3 linked regions of the Arabidopsis thaliana genome follow. The protein of the gene in region 2 interacts with the protein of the main gene of each other region in a pairwise test. Each region holds a gene or a part of one and is shown on either strand. Other genes may lie near its edges.

Region 1 (7,147 bases), on a different chromosome or scaffold from region 2:
CCTCCATCAATCATCCGTTGTTTTAATTTTGGCCCAAACCTAAGATTCTAGATAAGCCCAAACAATCTGACTTTTGCTACTTACTTATCCATTAAATCATCCGTTATTTAATTTGGGCCCAAACATAAGATTCTAGAAAAGCCCAAAATATCTGACTTTTGTTACTTATCCCTCAAATCATTCTTCCTCGTCTTTTTCGCATCAAATTCAACGATCAAACATAACTTTCGACATCGAGGAAATTCATATTTCAAAGTACCTTTACACTAGCGAAATTATATATATAAAAAATTAGTCAACAAAAAATTATAAGAAAAATATCTTTTACATACTTGTAATTTGTAAAAAAAAAGTGGAATGAATGGCTGGGGGTTTGATGTTTATAGTACAAAAGCTCCACATCTGATTCTGAGGAAGTTAACTCCAAGGAAGATCTTCTTCATCTTTGGATGATAACGAACAAACGTAATGTACAAATATATACGAATATTATTCAACCTCGCAAGACCCTCTTCTATAGACTCAAATTTCATAGTTTTTTTCGCTTTTGCACTATTTTTACGCATGAATCTTAATTTTGCATTACTATTGATTTGATTACTGATAGCGAGTATGGTATATCAAATGTGTATAGAATCTCTGATAAAGTTTGTAGTGTAGTTTTGCTACAGAAAGAACAAATGTTCTGAGATTGTGAAAGCTATAAAATGAAGGGGTTTACAAAACCATCAGTGAAACTCTGTTGACGGTAACAATTTTCAGGCTTTGATTTTGGAACTTTTTTTTTTTTTTTTTTTCTTTTTTTTTTGTCAAACAACTTTGATTCTGGAACTTATAGAGTAAAATTCCTATAAATTTTCTACCATTTGATTTTCATAGCTAAAGAAGGTGACAAAAGCTGGAAAAAAGGCAGTCTACAAAGAAATTGTGCAAGCAGGTTTTAGCAATCCAAAGCAGCCAACATATTGACCCGTTGTTATCAAGTTTTCCTTTTGTAAACATCTAGTACCGAACATTTTATGACAATGACTGTCCCTCTATATACTGTCAATCAAATCTCAGTTCCATGCGTAATAATGTGGGATAAAAGAAGAAAATTTTAGGCAAGACATCAAACTGATTCCTTCAAAGTACTTAAAACGAAAAAGATATTGTACAAGAGTTCAAAAGATCCAAATCAACAAAAAAAAAGGGAGATTAAATAAAAGGGACAAGAAACATGTGAGAGCTCGTTTCCTTTTTTTTGTTTTCTGTATGGTTATAAGTGTGTGGTTCTAGTTTAGGTTGTATTTTTTGGACAATGAGGTTTCACCTGTAAGGATGAAGGCATGAAGAAGGTTTTGGGCAGCCTGGGTTTGATCAGGTGTTCCAGATATGACAATGATCCTGTCACTTGTTCCTAGAGGAGGTTCATGGATTATGACCCTTGCACCCGATATCTGAGTAAACAAGCATCAAATGGTATAAGCTATGCTTAAGCCGTTTAAGTCAACCAACGGGGTGCTACTTCATCTTTATGACACTAATTATTTGGTCTGTAGATGATTATTTCAGACTGATGGGGCTAGATGAAAATTCTGTTTTTAAACAACGACTGTAACACTGAATAATGGAACAAACGTTGAGTACTTCAACGAAGATGGAGTTTTCGTGACTTAAAACAGTTTTTTTTGAGTAAAGTTATACATCGTTGAGAATAGTCCTAGACTCCTATTGACTTAGATTAATGGTAGCACGATTGTTTGCACCATGTATAAGACTTTACGTATATGAATTTTATTTTCTCATGCTTTCTTTTTAGTAACCCTAGAGTTCACTTCCGTTTTTAGTAACCCTAGAGTTCACTTACGTATAAGAGCAGCCAATGGAAACCAAAACCTATGGCTGCTCTTGTGGAGCAATTAATCATGGCCTAACCTCTTTTGGATGACGCTATGGGGAAAACCAATAAAAGATTTGTAAACAAAAAATGGCTTACCTGTCTCAGTTGTTCCAGATTGTAACCCTGCTCTCCATACACAAAGCTCATAGCATTAGCTGGAACTCTAATTTCCACGGTAGTGTTTGTAACGATGGCAGATTTGTGTCCACTAGAAAAGACCAAGCGAGCATGTAAACTACACAAAGATCAGAGTAATTATCTCACATAACTGTCTATAATTGTAGTGCTTTTACCTGCCAAGTACATGGCCAGCCCTTGCAGAAGATAATCCGCCACTGGCATCAGATAAGCCTCTTGGAGCTGCTGGAGGCTACATAAAAACTATGTCTATCAGCTACAGAAGTTAGATAGAAGCACAAATGTTCAAAATCTGAATGTGTAGAGGAAGAATGGGAGTATCAACAAGTACTTATGTACAGCAGAAAGGGGAGGATGGGAGAATACAGAGAGATGGAGACATACCGGGGACGCCCACAAACGAGATGGGGCCTCAGTTAAGTGATGGGAGTTATCACTGTGGTCCATGGTAAACCGCCGACCAAAATTATGAGAATAGCCTGCTGAGGGATTAAACCTATCAGGAAATGGGTCTTCTGGTCTTATGTAAGGATCTGTGCCAACTGATCTGGAATAGTTAACTGATGAATGAGACCCACTTAAAAAGGAATCCTCAGATCTTCTGTGCAGACTTGAGGAGTTGGTAGCTGGATTACTAACGGATTGATGAGACCCAATAGACAGAGGATTGTCTGATTGTCTGTCGTAGAATCTCTCAGTAGTTAAGGCGGAGCTGCTCTTGGCTAAGGAATTTTTCATTGAGTTGGAGAAAACACTGTCTCGCAGCCTGCTTGTAATATGGAAAATGGCTTCTCTCACATTAGGGAACTCTCCTGTAATCTATTGGCCAGTAAAGAATTAGTTTATGCCAGACAACTTAAGGAACAATGGAGCTTACAATATGACCGAGTTAATCTCTCAACCAAGTTTACAGTAAATGATCTTTTTAACTCTCTGTTTGCATGAATCTTTCAATTTCTTTCAGAATGTAGCAATAACTAAAACACCACCAACTTTTGACAAGTGTGCAAGGTGAATAGAGACCAACACAGGATTCGGTAATGAAAAGCAAACCACTAACATTTAGCATGCTAATTCCAAATTATGCTCACAAATCAGATGAGAGATTGTCACGTGGAATATGTACCATAACCATAAGGTCAACAAATGATCTAAGTACCTGCACAACTTGATCATTCTCTGAAATACATTTTGGGTTCTGCTCAACCTTCAAAATTTGAATTGCAGCCCCAGTGGTTTTCCGCATTTCCGAAACAATAACACCTCCTTTTCCCAGCACACAACCAATCTGACTTGTTGGGACAACAAGCCGTGCAGTGATAGATGACCTTGGGCCATTATCTAGGATTTTGTTAGTGGCAAGCTCAAATAATCTTGAAAAAATAAGCATAATCGCTTTCTGGGCTGGCGAGCTTTGACATTCAGGGTTCTACATGATGAACAAGCAACAATTATCAACCAAGGATAGTAAATAGATGGAACAGTACTGCATAAGCATCCATGAAAATGGGAAGAAATAGAAAACACCAACCTCTGATGCAGTTACTGCAATCAGACGTTCTTCACAATCATCAAGTGTATTTCCCACATTTATGAAGGCACCTGTTTCGCTATGAAGCATCCTGACAACTTTACCTCCAGTCCCGATAACTCCGCCAGCATTCTCAGTGGAACAAAGTATCTTAAAAACCACATCTTGGTTCCCTACTTCCACTTCTGATGGAGGTGGCTTCATGGTGGCAGTGTTAGCCATTGAAGCAGACGTAGTGAAGCTGTGAGGATGTGTGTCTAAAGTCGAATAACGATGTGCAAGATAATCTGCACTTTGCCCACGAAGAGTTTCTTGTGTCATTGTTTCAATAGGCCTTCCGTAAGCATCACGTGGAAACGACTCAAAAGGCATGCCCATAGCATCACGTGGAACCATTTCGAAAGGTCTATGCAAGGAATCATGAGAATCATCCCTCTCTCTATGCTGTCGAAAACAATCTCCCCTGAGAACATCAGAAGGCATGTATAACGTTTCTTGAGGAACTACATCAATACGCCTGCGTAAAGCATCTTGCCGGTCCGCCTCAACATGCCTGCGTAAAACATCTTGCCGGTCTGCCTCAATATGCATGCGTAAAGCACCCTGGGGAACCGCCTCGATACGCCTAAGATGCAAAGTATCATGAGGAATCACATCATTAGCCCGAGCTACAGTGCCCCGGGGAAATATCTCGTCGTTTCTCAGCCTATAATCGTAAGGGTTAACTTCAACGGACCTAGGAAGTGACTCCTGAATTATTGTCTCTATAGGCCTATGCAAAGATGCTTGGAACTCTTTTTCGAGAGGTCTGTTTCCAACCATCCTTACCTTGTCAATCGATTGACAATTTTGCAAGCAGCGGGAGATAGACACAAGAGCTTTCTTTACAGCGATAGCATTTCCTTCAACCTGCCATAGTTCAATATGAAAACCAATACATTACAATCTGCAAAAAAACAAGCATCTATAGAGTGCTAAACCAACGTTTCAGCTCAAAACATTTTCTCCAAAGAGATATTCATAGTTTCTAAATTTAGTATCAATTAGAATTCGTACCTCCACCATCTCGTCATCAGTATCAGCGCAAATCGGCAAATTCTCAATCCGTATAGAAATTTTGCAGCCAGTTTCTTTCCTAATACTCCCAACCATTTGACCACCTTTGCCTATCACAGCACCGGCATGGCTAGACTCCGTCAACAATCGGCACACGACCGTATCACTATCAGCTTCCGCCGCTAAAAGCTCGAATACCTTAATCAACGCTCCTTGTGCTTTAGATACCTCAACTTCCTCCTCCTTTTTCTCTCCTTCTGCATTGCCATTGTTATTAGCACCCAATTTCACCCTTGATTTCGAATCTGCTTGTGCGATTATCGTGATGACCCGATCCGGAGACCCAGACGGAGGCTCCTCGACCCGTATCTTAGCTCCGGTTGATTGTTGGAGCTGTTTGATTACGTTTCCAGATTTTCCAATCACCGCACCGACGTGTGATAAAGGGCAGAGCAATCTAAACGCCGCGTGTCCCACCGGCACAACCAGAGCTGAGAGCAGCTGCGTGTGATGCGTTTTGACCCTCTTGGAAGATCCGAATCCTGAACCTGGATCAAACGCTCCGGATCTCTTCTCTGCATGAAATTTAACGCTATTTCGCTCCATTATCTCTCCTCTCTCTCCCTCTCCAATCTCGTCACGGCGGTTTCCGGCGCAGAGGACTTGAGAGAAGTCTTTGGTGGTCTTTAACGCTAAGTTGCTAACTTGCGCCAAATATCCGCATTATATATTTATTATTTAACGGCAAACCATACCGTACCGATTTTAAAAATTCTTACTAAACTTAACCGAAATCTAACAACCAATTTATGGGAGTGGGACTGTGTTAGAAATCGAAGAAAGATTGCTTCTGATAAAGAAACATAATAAACTTGTGAATTGTGATTATACCAGTCGATCTTGAATCTTGATAAACAGATATATACACGGATCTAACTTTCCTAATACATAATGTTACAAGCAACCAAATCTAACATCGATTCATTTATTGTTTTTACAGATAATATGAAACAGAGGAGTTGTTTAAACTTCATAGCCAGGGTTCACAGTCTGCTGCACATCTCCATAGCTCTCTAGCTCAGCAACATCCTCTAAGCTCCCAAGAAACAGAGGCAATCTTTGGTGAAGCTTCACGGGTTGTATCGAAAGTATCCCTCTTTTTCCATCAGAGGATTTGCCACCAGCTTGCTCCACGAGAAAAGCCAAAGGGTTACCTTCATAGACTAAACGAAGATGGTCTCTTGGATTCATAGCCACTCCACCGTATAAGAGAGTCCTGTGAAGATCAGCTACTAGAGAACAAATATAACGCGCAGAGTATTTTTTCGGGTTTTGACCTTTGCCTTGTCTCACTGTGTCAATGTACTTCCTTAAACCTTCTGGCCAATCAAAGTACCTCGCATCGTTCACTGAGTAGATTTGTCCTATTGTTGATCATACAAAAAACAACGATTAATGCAGGTTGTTCAGAGCCATGAATAGGAATGTCGCAATGGATCAAGTCATATGTGTCATTAGACGCTTTTTACCCCGAGTTGGGATCTTGATGTTTTGATGGGTAAGAACAAATTCTCCTGTGGAATGGTCTAGCGTGAAGGCGTGTGTTCCCGATCCAAGTGTAACACAGAAGATAGTGGCTGAAGAGTATAGCACATAACCGGAAGCTACAAGCCTGCTGCCTCTCTGCAAAGAATTGAGCTCAGCTTTCTCTTCAACAGGTAAATGATCAAGCTCAACGAGACGATTGTAAATTCCAAATATAGTTCCCGTGGGAATCGAAGCATCGATGTTCCGTGATCCATCTAGAGGATCTACAACCACAACGTAAGGACCATCATCTTTGATCCAAGTTGGACTATCGTTTTCTTCAGAAGCCATTACTGCTACTTTCCCTGAGTTTCTAAGAGAGGACAAGACGATATCGTTCTGCAAAACGGAAACATGAATTGTAAGATTGAATCTTGATATGAATCATGATAAAAAAGAGAGTAATAAGATACAGACCGAGACAATATCGAGCGGCTTAGGCGCATCTCGGTCTGACCCACTAGAGGAGTTAACAGAGAGCTTTCCGAGTGAAGAATTGAAAGGAGAGGCGACAAGAGAAGCGATTCTTTTGCAAGCATGTTGTAAGTGGTAAAGCAACACCACAAGATCCTCTCCTACATTTTTCCCTTCTCCTCCTCCACTACCTATCAGAAAATTTCATAGAACAACTTAAAATAATAATAAATTTAAGACTTCAATCAAACTGCTTATACAGAGGAACCGTCAAAAGTCAAAACCCAACCATTGTTCGTCTAAGAGAGTTTCCAAGATTTGTCTTACTCAATTAAGCACATTTTAGATGCTAAATTCAGGGTATTTCCACTAAAGTTACGGATTTTCGGACATAGATTGACAATGGATGACAGACAACACATTAACTTGAATTATCGAGACAGTGCTAAGTTCGTTCAGACAGAGCAGTTTGTTACCTGCAAAGTCTATAAGAGTACAGTAACCATCATCATCATCTCCGGTCAAATTCCGACCAACGG
Region 2 (6,041 bases):
CTTGATTTACATCAACCAAAACAAGAGCACCATGTGCTGTTTCTTATATGGATATAACAGTTCGAAATAAGTTATCGTCTTCATACATCCCTAGAACCCCAACGACTGGACTAAAACCCTCAACTTCTAAAATAAGACTTATTGTAGAATAATACCAAATTGTGAAAAAAAAAACAAATATAAATTATTGACTATAGTTTGAAGTAAGTCGTAATTTTTTCCGCAAGGTAAATTCATTCAAAGTTAAAATGTGGAGAGTGAGAGAAAGAGAGTCGCGTGGCTATTGGGTAATGAGAAACGATTGGACCCATTTGGTATCATTCGGAAGTGATATGTGGCAGAGGGCAATCATACGTTTTCGTCATAGCGTTAGATTTTCTTACAGTTTCTTAGAGATTATTTCGATTGTTTGTGTCAAACGAGTTTAGTATGTTACTGCTATTGAACAGTAGTATTTTCTCATGTATCGATATGAATACGTTTACTCTTTTTCTTTTTTTCACACAATCAGATGAATATAGGGATGAATATACGTAGTTTTGTCTTTGTCATATACTAGATTATATTCCCACCAGTCATTTTCCTATGTATTTAACAAGACAAGACGTAGAAAAATGAGAATTTTAGTACTTGAGTTAACATATTTAAAGATTATATTCCCATCAGTCATTGAACATATGTGTACATATATATACGAGGAGAATCTATAACTTAGTAAGGAGGGAAATATGAGATTTTATTTCTATAGAGAAAAGAAAGGATAAAACCTCTCTCTGCCAACACTGGCCACCGTCTCCAAAGTCCATCCCAGTTAATTTTTATTTTTTGGAATCTTCTTATGTTATTACTCTTTCTTTTCTTATGACAACATGTCAACATGTGACCTGTCGTCTTCTACTTTCTTTTCTTCAGCTTTTCTCCTTTTAAGCAGAATATTCAATCTATCTTCAAATTCATATCTGAGTTTTGTACTATAAAAGAAAAGCAGACATTAAAAAAGATTTGAATATAAAACAAATGTATTGGAGTGGTAAAGCACATCTTCATCAAACATTTTTAAGGAGCATCAATCTAATTGGTCGATGGAAATGGAAGTAAAGGAATAGAAGATTGTTTGTGTTCCATGATGATGTATATATATGCCTAATTAATGTTACTGTTAGTTACCTTTGGATAACAAAGATATTTAAAGCGGTTTAATGCTTATTAACGGTTGATGGATGTTACCTTTTCTTTTTGACATCACGGTAGATGTTACCTTTCATAGGTGTTGAATAGACAGATTGGGGACGTTAATTAGTAATGATGTAATTAGTTAGAGCTAAATAGTGCTAATAAATATATGTAAGAAATTGTTCGGAAAGTAACTAAAAAAAGTTCAATTCATGCAAGTAGACACTTCAAATGTGATAAATGTATAAGTATGATGTTAAGCATGTGACCCTTGAGAGTCGATTAGGGCACTGTACAAGATTGACCCAAATAGTTACAAACTACAAGTGAACTCTCTTCCATTACATATCTACGTGTATTGAGGGGACCATTATCGTACGTATACACGTATATATGTTTTGCCCTAAATTCCCAATTTTAATTCAGCATGGGGGACGGACTCATTCAATAGCATCGTCTTTCACTTTCCTTCTTCGGTTTAAAATCTCATTTTAGTTTCTGATCCAAAAAAAAATGTTTGATCAAAGATCAAAAACTTAGATAGAAACAAACTGTTTTTTTTTCTTAAATCAAGAAAGTCTAAAAAACTAAGATACAAAAAGGGACTCGCAGCGGCAGAGAGATAAGTATCTTACGGGCCAGCAGATAATTTCTATGTTACGTCCCTTTCATCCCCATTGCATATTGCATATGAAGACAACGGATATTAACTAAAATCTTCCAAAATTACGGTATAATGAATAATAATACACTTCTGTCTCATATAGTATTCTATTATATTGTTCGAAAATGTTCTTATTTACATATCTATTTATATTGTTAATTGATTGCGGCTATTACTGTGGATATTCATCGTAACTATTTTAATCAATACAAATCATGCAAAATAGTGAATGACTTAGAAAAGTTGAAACCACATATGATTGAGTTTAGGGGGAAAAGTATAAAAGAAAGCATGACTAGTATGTTACTATGTAGTAAGCTTCAAACATATATTTAAGAAAATACTATATATAGATACATATGATATAACATAACATTAAAATATATGGTGAAACATTTTTTCTTAATATCCTAAGCTTCAAACATATACCCAAGTAGAGAAGAGTTGGAGTATTCATTCTTTGGTTAAACATAGACCTAATACATAGCTCATATGGACAATTTTTCGACAAAACAAAAATGATAGCAAATGGGCTAAAATGGTTTCATATCGAAAAGCCCAAACCATTAAGCCAAAACGACGTCGTACGATATGACAGCGGCGATTCCTATAACCACCACCAGAGGTTAAAAAGTCTCTCTCTTTAGCTATCTTTTTTGTGTTACCGGTTCAAATGGCCGCCGTCGCAGATTCCGTTGAGAACAACGGTTCCATAAACCTCCCTGAGAATGAAAACCTTATACCGGCGGGATTCAGTGCCGCCGCATTGCTTGACGAAAACTCTGGCGCTTTCCCTGAATTGAATCAGCCCGATAGCTTAGCTGCTGCTGAGACTACCTTCCCCGATACGAACGATTCCGCGGAGGAGAGGTGGCCAGGTTGGCCTGGTGATTGCGTGTTTCGTATGATCGTTCCGGTGACTAAAGTCGGAGCTATTATTGGACGCAAAGGTGACTTTATAAAGAAGATGTGTGAGGAGACTCGTGCTCGTATCAAAGTCCTTGATGGTCCTGTTAATACTCCCGATCGCATCGTTAGTATCTCTATCTCCTTCTACGTGATTTACTGTGTTCAAAGCTAATTCGAATTTGGGGATTTTTAATTTCTATTTCTAGGGTTTCTTAATCATAAGTAGGAAGATTCTTGAGTTGTGATCATTAAAGTTGTGAACTTTTATCCCCTAGTTGTGCAATTTGATTACTTTATGGTTCCAATTATAGTTTGAAGTGTTCACTAAGTTAATTACTTGCTCAATGTTATGTTTTAGGTGTTAATATCTGGTAAGGAAGAACCAGAGGCCTACATGTCACCGGCAATGGACGCAGTGTTGAGGGTGTTTAGACGTGTTTCAGGGTTGCCTGATAATGATGATGATGATGTTCAAAACGCTGGAAGTGTCTTCTCTTCAGTGCGTTTATTAGTTGCTTCAACGCAGGCGATTAATTTGATTGGAAAACAAGGATCTTTGATTAAGTCTATAGTAGAGAACTCTGGTGCATCAGTTCGTATTTTATCAGAAGGTATTATCTATCATCTGCAGTTTTCTGTTTTTACCTAATTGATCTCTTTGTTTGTGATTGTTAAAGTTTAGTTTTTGCTATTTCAATTCATGTCTGTTTTTTTTTCTAAAATTGGTGTCTTTGTTGCCAGTTTCTTATTTCTCTACTTTTTTCTGCCAGAGGAAACACCGTTTTATGCTGCACAGGATGAGAGGATAGTGGATTTGCAAGGGGAAGCTTTAAAGATTCTTAAAGCATTAGAAGCCATTGTTGGACACCTTAGGAGATTTTTAGTTGACCATACTGTTGTCCCTCTCTTCGAGAAGCAAGTAAGCTTGCTTGTTTCAATCGAGATTATTCCTTTCCCTTTTTTTTCTTTTCTGAATTATTGTTATCTTTTCTTATCTTCAGTATCTAGCTAGGGTCTCTCAAACTCGCCAGGAAGAACCGTTAGCTGAAAGCAAGTCATCTCTGCATACTATTTCGTCAAATCTAATGGAGCCTGATTTCTCCCTCTTAGCACGGAGGGAACCTTTGTTTCTGGAGCGCGATTCTCGGGTGGACTCACGTGTTCAGCCTTCGGGAGTTTCTATCTACAGTCAGGATCCTGTACTGTCTGCCAGACACTCCCCAGGTCTTGCTCGGGTTTCTTCTGCTTTTGTGACACAGGTAGATTCCCTTAAATACAACATCAGCTCCTGAAAACGAGTTTAGCGATATCATCTTACTTGTTATGATTAGTCTTCCAGCAGTGATTTTGATCTTAACACATCTAACTTGTTTCTCTGAACTAGTAGTGACGTTTCTATAATGGATTCTCTTACTAGGTATCTCAAACGATGCAAATACCATTCTCCTATGCAGAGGATATTATTGGTGTAGAAGGAGCTAATATAGCCTATATCCGTCGAAGAAGCGGAGCTACCATAACCATTAAAGAGAGTCCGCATCCTGATCAAATCACAGTGGAAATCAAAGGCACAACTTCTCAAGTACAAACTGCTGAGCAACTAATTCAAGTAAGAACACATTCGATCTGTATATATATATATATACTTTCTGCGACGTGGCATTGTATAAACACTAAGATTATGCTTGCTTTGCATCCTACCCCGCCTGCTTCATCATAACCGTATTCTTTTGTTTACGTGTGTGTAGGAGTTCATCATCAATCACAAGGAACCAGTTTCGGTATCAGGGGGATATGCCAGAATCGACTCTGGATATGTACCTGCATATCCTCCTCAGCTAAGTAACCGTCAAGAGCCGCTCCCGAGCACCTACATGGGCACAGAGCCGGTGCAGTACAGACCAACAGCATACTCTCAGCTGGGGGGTCCTTCTACCTACACACCGACCCTGACTGGGCAAACTTATGGTTCGGAATATAGACCAGCTTCTGATGTTGGTGGCTACAGCAGTTATAATCTTTGAATTGGTTGCTGTGTTTAAGTTTATTTGCAGATTAATTTCTCTTTAGAGAAAGGCTCATTTATAATATAATAGAGAGGGAAAAGGAACAAGTTCTAGAGAGCCAATGTAGTTGTTGGAATGTGTAATGTAAATCTAGGTGCCCTTTTTTTTTTTTTTTTTCATACCTCGATATATGTCACACTACGTTTCTGGTCAAATAAGAACATGTTTTTTCTTTCTTTTTTGTATGAATTTGTTTATCAGAAGTCAGAATGATTCAGTTTTAAGAAATTTTTAGTTAACGTTTTACAACAATAACCTGTAGGAGCTTTTTCTTAATTGAATAAGTTTAAGCTTTCTATTTTGATCTGATGATGCTAATATGAAAGCATTCTCCGAAGAACCAAACCACATGAGACTTTTTGATTTCAATGTCCATTCGTAACTAGTAACGGAAAAGATCAGACAGAAAAAATGTACCAATCATTCCATATTTGTAGTTTTACATGATATAGTAATATTCTCTAGGTGTTTAAGTTGTATATTTCATGATTTTTACACATTTTAAAACCTGATTAAGGCCTGTTTTTAACTTTTTATTTCTTCAAACCGTAAGAAACAATCCTTGCAAGAAACAATCCTTGCTTCTTCTTCTTTTTTTCGTCAAGAAACAATCCTTGCTATATTTTCATTTTTACAGCTTCTTGTTTTTAAGAGAGCAAATATAATAAATAAGGACGGCTGAAAAGAGGTATATGTATCACAAAATTAAACAAAAGAGAATCCACCTATCGACATAGACGTGGTATCCTTTCGATATCGACAGAATTATGTTGAACGCAGCAAGTTGGCCATTAATCAAATCTTTGACGCGTGGAATCATTCTATTGTCAATGAAAACAAATATTAAAGAACAGGTACTACCTATATACCTAATAGATTCCTCTAACCCGTCAAATGTCAATGTATCGACCGTTACAATTATGCACGTCTTCTAATTGAAACATTCTCTACTTTGCCAATGTCTTATCCCCAAAACTACATATAAATATGCATTTACGGGGGCTTAGAATTTCATCACAAAACTTGCAAGTATCATTCACAGGAGAGGGAAGGGAGAGCTCATCATACGAAATGAGGTCAATCACAGCTTTGTTTTTCCTTTTCTGTTTCCTTGCTCCTTCTGCTTTGGCGCAGCTCCGAACTGGGTTCTACAGCCGCTCATGCCCCCGTGCCGAATCTATCGTGGCTAGTGTTGTTGCCAACCGTTTCAGAAGTGACAAGTCCATTAC
Region 3 (7,212 bases), on a different chromosome or scaffold from region 2:
ACCCAGCAGGCGTTTCACAGAAGAGGCCGCGAGGTTAGAGATAACATTCAATATATTTGGCTTTGGAGCTTACATGTTATCTTCTCTGATGAGTTTGTTGACAGGTTCTACGCGTCTGAAGTGCTATTGGCTTTGGAGTATCTACACATGCTGGGGGTTGTGTACAGAGACTTAAAGCCAGAGAACATCCTTGTTCGAGATGAAGGCCACATAATGCTCTCAGACTTCGACCTCTCCCTCCGTTGCACCTTTAATCCGACCCTCGTTAAATCCTCCTCAGTCTGCAGCGGGGGAGGTGCTATCCTCAATGAGGAGTTTGCTGTCAATGGCTGCATGCATCCATCCGCCTTTCTTCCCCGCCTACTCCCTTCCAAGAAAACCCGTAAAGCGAAATCAGACTCTGGTCTCGGTGGCCTCTCTATGCCAGAGCTCATGGCAGAGCCAACAGATGTGCGGTCAATGTCCTTTGTGGGCACACACGAGTACCTAGCTCCAGAGATCATACGTGGCGAGGGACATGGCAGCGCTGTGGACTGGTGGACATTCGGGATCTTCCTTTATGAGCTCCTCCATGGGACCACCCCGTTCAAGGGGCAGGGAAACAGAGCCACGTTGCACAATGTGGTGGGTCAGCCGCTGAAGTTCCCGGATACCCCGCATGTGAGCTCAGCGGCACGTGATCTCATCCGCGGACTACTAGTGAAGGATCCACACAGAAGGATCGCTTACACGAGGGGGGCCACAGAGATAAAGCAACACCCTTTCTTTGAAGGAGTGAATTGGGCTCTAGTTCGTAGTGCTGCCCCACCTCACATTCCAGACCCCGTGGACTTGGGACCGTACGCGGCCGCTAGAGGTAAGACCAAGAGCCATGGAGGTGGTGATCACTGTAACTCAATGAAGCCGGAGCCTCTGGTCGCCTGTGCTGCTGGTCCCACGGATGATACGGCGTATATAGATTTCGAGTACTTTTAGACTTAAAACTCCACAAGCTGAAAGTTTCGATATGTTTGTTTTTGTTCATATTCTTTAATTTTGGCGAATACAAATTGTGATTTATAAAAGAAGAACAGATGACTTGGTTTAAGAGACTAAAAGAGTTTTACTAAAAGAGTTAAAGCAGATTTTGTGTGTGAGATAACAATTTGTCAATGAAAAAATCCACAAAAGCTTCTCTGAGTCAATTAAAATGTCCTAAGAGACAACACTCTTCTCGACATAACAGAGCGTCAGAACCATTGGTTCCAAATTTCTCGCTGCCTTATTCTTATCGTCATCCTCCGACCAAAGTTCCATCTTCTGCACAGAGATGTTGATGAAGCACTGTTTTGTGTCTCATAACGCCAATGATCTCTGTTTCTCTTTCTCCAACTCCAAATTCAATCTTGCAAGCTGCCCAAAGAAGCCACCTCGTCTCACCTGCGTTGTCAATGTTGGATTCCAAGATATCGCTGAGGTCATCCACAACAAGGTTTCGCCTTTTTCTCTTCTTTCATTCCTTTTTTTGGAGGGTCATCGTCACTTAGGCTTTTGATTTCACCGGCGTGAAGGTACTCATAGCTGCTGGGACTTCTGCTGTGATTGGGCAGCTCTCAAAGCCATTCACTTCTGTCGTTTTGTATGGGAAAAATCTGGACTTTAGAAGTGTCTTTCAAGCTGGAGGTTTCCCTTCAACACATTCTTCTGTAAGCTTATCCTTTTTTTATTCTTGTTTCCTCTGGTAATATTGTTTGTCTACTTCTCTGACATTTTGGCCTAATTCTTGAGAAACCAGTCTGTTGTGGCTGCAGCAACTGCTATTGCTTTTGAAAGGTGATTAGCCTGAACCTTTCTCTTCTCAATTCCCCTAAATATACTCAGCTTATGCAATTTCCTGAATATGGTTTGGCTTCAGGGGATTTGCTGACTCCATTTTTGGTCTAACTGTGGTTTATGCTGGCCTTATCATGTATGATGCCCAGGTAAAATAGTCTATAGAGAAAAGCTTAGGCTGGCTTTTGTTCAATAGGTCTTTGTTGGTTATTCTCAAATTCTCAATGTCTGATTCTAGTGTTATCTTAATGTCTCACTGATTGTAACATTGCAGGGGGTGAGGAGAGAAGTTGGAAAACATGCCAAAGTGTTGAACAAACTAACAGCTAATGCTCGTAGAAGTGAAGTAATGAGTTTAAAGGGCAACGAATCTAACAAAGCTTTGACATCAGAAGAGATCAGTGAGGAGATTGCTCCTCCATTGAAAGAATCAATAGGACACACTGAAGTTGAAGTCATAGCAGGGGCTTTGTTCGGTTTCTTAGTTACCCTCAGTGTTTATTCCCTGATGTAAAAAAGCTCCCAACTTTATAAAAACTATATATTTTTTGTGTTGATAAGAAAGAAAGAGAATTTAATAATGTGCAAACTGCAATAAAACAGAGAATCAGTGGTAATGTCAAATCAAGTTTTATGGATCTGAGAATTTTTGTTCTGTTTGAGTTGGTTGTAAACCCCACAAACACAACAATTTTGATAATTTGTTTGACACCAAAAAAGTAGAAAGCTTTTTCCTTTAGGGTTTCCTTTTTCGATCGAATGGCACATCGTCAATTGTATAGCTACGCCCTTCAACCTTCTTATGCTGCTGCTGCCTCCACCGTATCTCCAGCTCCTCCTCCGCCGCAACAACCACTGCCGCCAAAAACCGGTCTTTCTTCTCTCTACGGTTCTTCTGCTGACCATTACTTTCCGGATACCACGTATCGTTTCTTAGCTCGTGATGGATCCGAAGCTTTGAGCAACTATTCAGGGACTCTTGCATCGTCTTCCTCTATGTACCATCATTTGCCTAACACGACGGCATCGCATTTGGCGTATCCTCAGCTGCTTCAGCATCAGGAAGTTGCTTGGCCACCTGGTGTGGAGGTTCCCGGTGCTGCTTCCGCCGTCGAGCCACTTCCTCCTGGTGTCAAACGCACCTCTGAAGGTAGGCTCTTTGTTTACCTTACTATTTATGGGATCTGCATCATTTTCTTATTTATTGCTTGGAGAACTATGCCGCATAACTTGAAAAGTTAAAGACTTCAGCTTTCCCTTTTCTCTGCTCATCGTGATACTCTAGTTCTGTAGCGGAAATTAGTGTTTTTGATGGTTTGTTTCTTCAATTGCAGCATAAAAAACTCAGCTTTAGTCATGGTCTCTAGCCTGATTCTTTCTAGGATAGATTTTAATTTACATTTGCTCAAGCACAATGATGTTGGTTTGTATTCCTCTGTGCTTTCTCGTTAGCTGAAATAGAGGTTGGATTGGTTTGGCCAATTGCTTTGTTTTGAGTCTGGACAACGCGAAGCTTGACAGTTAGAATCATCTTTCAGGAGATGCTTAGGGATTGCATCTATAAACTATATAGCTTATGGTAGTGTTCTTGATTAAGTCTTTGTTGCTTTAGGATTGCCTAACGATAATTGTTTTTAGTTTTGACCTTAATGTTTATTGGAACACTTGGTGATTTTGCAGAATTGATTGATGATTTATGTTTTGTTGTAACTCTATGGTTTCCAATAGATTTTCAGACATGATTGTATGTAAGCCAGAATTTCTTACTGTAAGTTTAACTAAAGATACAATTGATTATTGATGCTATATCTTGGTTTTTGCTATAGTATCTCCCAAATTTATTTTCAAATTATACTTATAGTCAGTATATATCTTCTCATTTCGTTGTATATTATTGTTTATTATGTAATTTAGCGCTCTACTATCCGACTCTGTTGGGTGCCCATAATACAATTGGTCAAACCGAAGCTTGGTATACTACAGACTATTTTACCAAGCGCCCTAAGTTGGAGAGTACAAGCCATTTGCCTATATATCCACAGAGGGCAGGAGAGAAAGATTGTACCCACTATATGCAAACAAGAACATGTAAATTTGGAGAAAGCTGCAGGTTTGATCATCCTATTTGGGTTCCTGAGGGCGGAATCCCAGATTGGAAAGAGGTGATCGTTTACTACTATCTAAGTATTTCTTATGCCCTCATATGATTTTTACATTATTATGATAACGTTTTTCTATATTCTGTTATGTACTTATATGTTTTATACTGTGGGAGTTTGTGCCTAATTACTTTGTAACTATATATATTGTTTTTGTTTGGTATACGAGGTTATAGAATTACTACATTATCATGATAGTGTAGGTATAGGTATGACAAATGGTATCTTATTGTTATTCAAGATTTGAGCTTCCCGACTTCTGCAACCGTGTTTGTTATCCTTGCTTTTCCCTTTGTCAGATCATTCCTTGACTTGGAAGAGACATCATACTCATTGTCTAGGCATTACATGATAAAATGATATGATTGTTTTTGCTTATGAATATCTTTTCATTCAGGCACCAGTTGTTCCAAATGAAGAGTATCCTGAGAGACCAGGAGAACCAGATTGTCCTGTAAGCTGTTCGTGAAAACTTTTCGAGCTATTTTATTTCTGTTTCGCCTGAAGACCTGAGACTATCTTTCTTTTATTTTCACTGTTATCCAGTACTATATAAAAACACAACGCTGCAAATATGGTTCAAAGTGCAAATTTAATCATCCAAGAGAAGAGGCTGCAGTAAGTGAATTTTCCTTTTCCAAATAAAATTATCCCTCGGGTTGTGTATTTGCCTGCAGACACTCGCATAAAATCTTGTGCTTGTAATATGTACTGCTTTAGTTTTTTCTTGGGCTGTGCATGCACCTAGAAGCTTGATGCTCTTCTTTATTTCAGGTTAGTGTTGAAACTCAAGATTCATTGCCTGAGAGGCCTTCTGAACCTATGTGCACAGTAAGATATAAACATAATTGATTGACCTATCCTATTTTTATAAATGCTCTTACATATGAAACTAATATCGATTATTAATTTGGCATTTCTACTCTGCATCAGTTCTACATGAAGACTGGAAAATGTAAATTTGGTTTGTCATGCAAATTCCACCATCCAAAGGATATCCAGCTACCATCATCGAGTCAAGATATTGGTAGCAGTGTGGGGTTAACCAGTGAGCCTGATGCCACAAACAATCCGCATGTCACATTTACCCCAGCATTGTATCACAACTCAAAAGGACTACCTGTTAGATCGGTAATGAATTCATCTTCACTTTGCATAAGACTGACTTATAATCATATAGGCACAATTTGTGACTTTCTACTATCTTATTGGCACTATACTTAGAACTGATTATGGTTTGCTAGCATTGTATGCTGACCTGTTCTGACGTCTGAGAATGAAGTTTCACTAATTAGATTGTAGCTTTTTCAGGGTGAAGTGGACTGCCCATTCTATCTCAAAACGGGAAGGTGAATATCTCTTGTATAATACTATTTTGTTGTTTAGAACATTGAAACAAAGAACGTGACATTAACGTTCTAACTTGTTTTCCTTTTCCATAATCAGCTGCAAGTATGGAGCCACTTGTCGCTACAATCATCCTGAGAGGACTGGTTTGTGATCATGCCAAAATTTTGTGGTTTTTAGAACCTTTAACGTATTACTTTTATCCCTAAATTCTCATAATGTGCGATGTTTTGATTCTGTGCACAGCATTCATTCCCCAAGCTGCTGGGGTAAACTATTCTCTAGTTTCATCGAACACTGCGAATTTGAACCTTGGGCTGGTTACACCAGCTACCTCTTTCTATCAGACTCTTACTCAACCCACGGTAAAAGCCTTTATTCATGTTGTGAGAAATATTCAAGAGCGCTTCTTTAGTTGATAGGGGTTTAATTAGAGTGGAAATTGTTTCAGCTTGGAGTGATTTCAGCAACTTATCCCCAAAGACCTGGACAATCAGAATGTGACGTTAGTATCCTTGTTTCTTTTAGAGATTGCTGAGCTTTTTCTCCCACATGTTAGTTGAAATTTTATACCAAAAGCTCTGTCTTTCAATATTACAGTACTACATGAAGACAGGGGAGTGCAAGTTTGGAGAGAGATGCAAATTCCATCACCCAGCAGATAGGTTAAGTGCAATGACCAAACAAGCTCCTCAACAACCAAATGTAAAGCTGAGTCTTGCAGGGTATCCCAGAAGAGAGGTACCTATAAAGTGGTATTATTAGAAGCCTGCATGTTGTGAGTTTGTGTGGTAATCTCATAGACAAAACAAAAACTGTTGCAGGGTGCGCTTAATTGCCCTTATTACATGAAGACAGGAACTTGCAAATACGGGGCAACATGCAAGTTTGACCATCCTCCTCCAGGTGAGGTGATGGCTAAGACCACTTCAGAAGCCGATGCTGCTGGAGCAACCAACACCGACACTACTCAATGAGTTTCCCAGCTTTGTGTAACATAAGATGATATCTTGTTGTAATCCTAGTTTACTTCCTATGTACTGCATCTGTTTCGTTTCGAAATGCTTATCGCTCGTGAGTTCTCTACTTCTCTTTATCATCCTAAAACAAAAAAGATATCGTTGAGTGAGTCTTCTTTTACTCAGTTGAGCTCATAAAAGCAAAATTGTTCATCACCACTCTTCTCTCCTCAATGATCCAATTGAGCATTTATCTGCCGTTGATTCGGTTCTCTTGGATAAATATCGTTTCCATTGTGATTTTGTTTATAGCAATTGTCAGTAAACTCCAACTAATCTCCACAATAAGATGAAACAACACGTAACAACAAGATGTGACAGAGTGACGACAGAGAGCCAGTGCATGAAACATGCTTCTTCAGCAAGACACATGTCGGTGCTAACTGCTAAATCAAAAGTGGGTCCAATGTTTTGTTCTTAAGAGTCGAAGAAGAGGACATGACATGAGAAACAGAGGCAAAGGAAGAAAACATGGACTAGTTGTCTCCGTGTCTCTGATTTTAAGTTTTGATGAAACATGTGGAAGGCCTCTATTAATGGTATAACGACAAATGATGAAAGTAGCAAAGGAGGACTCAAAAAGTTTGATGCCTTTTTGATTGGATCTTTTAAAAATATGAGCACACTTCCCTATAATACTTCTATAATCCAAAATACTCTTTTGGGCCTATCTTACCAAAATTATGCAAACTTCCACAACACAAACACGAGTGTCACAAACCCTAAATCTAATCTCAAGAGTCTGGAGCAGAAAAATAAATTTACCATGGTTTTGAAATTTACCGTTTCAGTCCCTTTTTATTTTATTTTCTTACTCAAGCCCAATGTTGATGTATTATTTTGAGATTAAAAAACTTTTGACCAAATAAAAAAAC

The links.
Region 1: the proteins of PEP (region 2) and HEN4 interact in a two-hybrid assay, tested with the Arabidopsis thaliana proteins (one study listed by BioGRID).
Region 3: the proteins of PEP (region 2) and HUA1 interact in a two-hybrid assay, tested with the Arabidopsis thaliana proteins (one study listed by BioGRID).

The regions. Positions count from the first base shown.
Region 1 is NC_003076.8:25,741,508-25,748,654, reverse strand, and holds HEN4 (RNA-binding KH domain-containing protein), read right to left. Parts: upstream 5,310-7,147; 5' UTR 5,214-5,309; coding exon 4,608-5,213; intron 4,461-4,607; coding exon 3,552-4,460; intron 3,450-3,551; coding exon 3,180-3,449; intron 2,840-3,179; coding exon 2,405-2,839; intron 2,253-2,404; coding exon 2,176-2,252; intron 2,118-2,175; coding exon 1,979-2,117; coding exon of another isoform or gene 1,913-1,978; exon of another isoform or gene 1,440-1,912; coding exon 1,275-1,439; 3' UTR 1,003-1,274; downstream 1-1,002. Other genes in the region: AT5G64395 (uncharacterized protein), read left to right, coding at 358-453; AT5G64380 (Inositol monophosphatase family protein), read right to left, coding at 5,631-6,031, 6,137-6,533, 6,612-6,799, 7,085-7,147. UniProt on the Arabidopsis thaliana protein: Functions in floral reproductive organ identity in the third whorl and floral determinacy specification by specifically promoting the processing of AGAMOUS (AG) pre-mRNA. Functions in association with HUA1 and HUA2.
Region 2 is NC_003075.7:13,194,770-13,200,810, forward strand, and holds PEP (RNA-binding KH domain-containing protein), read left to right. Parts: upstream 1-2,299; 5' UTR 2,300-2,510; coding exon 2,511-2,870; intron 2,871-3,104; coding exon 3,105-3,357; intron 3,358-3,516; coding exon 3,517-3,665; intron 3,666-3,747; coding exon 3,748-4,005; intron 4,006-4,163; coding exon 4,164-4,355; intron 4,356-4,494; coding exon 4,495-4,770; 3' UTR 4,771-5,072; downstream 5,073-6,041. Other genes in the region: AT4G26010 (Peroxidase superfamily protein), read left to right, coding at 5,800-6,041. UniProt on the Arabidopsis thaliana protein: Regulates vegetative and gynoecium development. In concert with HUA2, antagonizes FLK by positively regulating FLC probably at transcriptional and post-transcriptional levels, and thus acts as a negative regulator of flowering.
Region 3 is NC_003074.8:4,024,359-4,031,570, reverse strand, and holds HUA1 (floral homeotic protein (HUA1)), read left to right. Parts: upstream 1-2,430; 5' UTR 2,431-2,571; coding exon 2,572-2,962; intron 2,963-3,726; coding exon 3,727-3,974; intron 3,975-4,368; coding exon 4,369-4,425; intron 4,426-4,517; coding exon 4,518-4,589; intron 4,590-4,745; coding exon 4,746-4,802; intron 4,803-4,904; coding exon 4,905-5,102; intron 5,103-5,282; coding exon 5,283-5,320; intron 5,321-5,417; coding exon 5,418-5,464; intron 5,465-5,564; coding exon 5,565-5,683; intron 5,684-5,769; coding exon 5,770-5,823; intron 5,824-5,918; coding exon 5,919-6,059; intron 6,060-6,142; coding exon 6,143-6,295; 3' UTR 6,296-6,495; downstream 6,496-7,212. Other genes in the region: AGC1.5 (AGC kinase 1.5), read left to right, coding at 1-33, 105-975; AT3G12685 (Acid phosphatase/vanadium-dependent haloperoxidase-related protein), read left to right, coding at 1,310-1,471, 1,551-1,685, 1,775-1,812, 1,895-1,961, 2,087-2,326. UniProt on the Arabidopsis thaliana protein: Involved in flower development. Functions in floral reproductive organ identity by binding AGAMOUS (AG) pre-mRNA and promoting its processing. Functions in association with HUA2 and HEN4.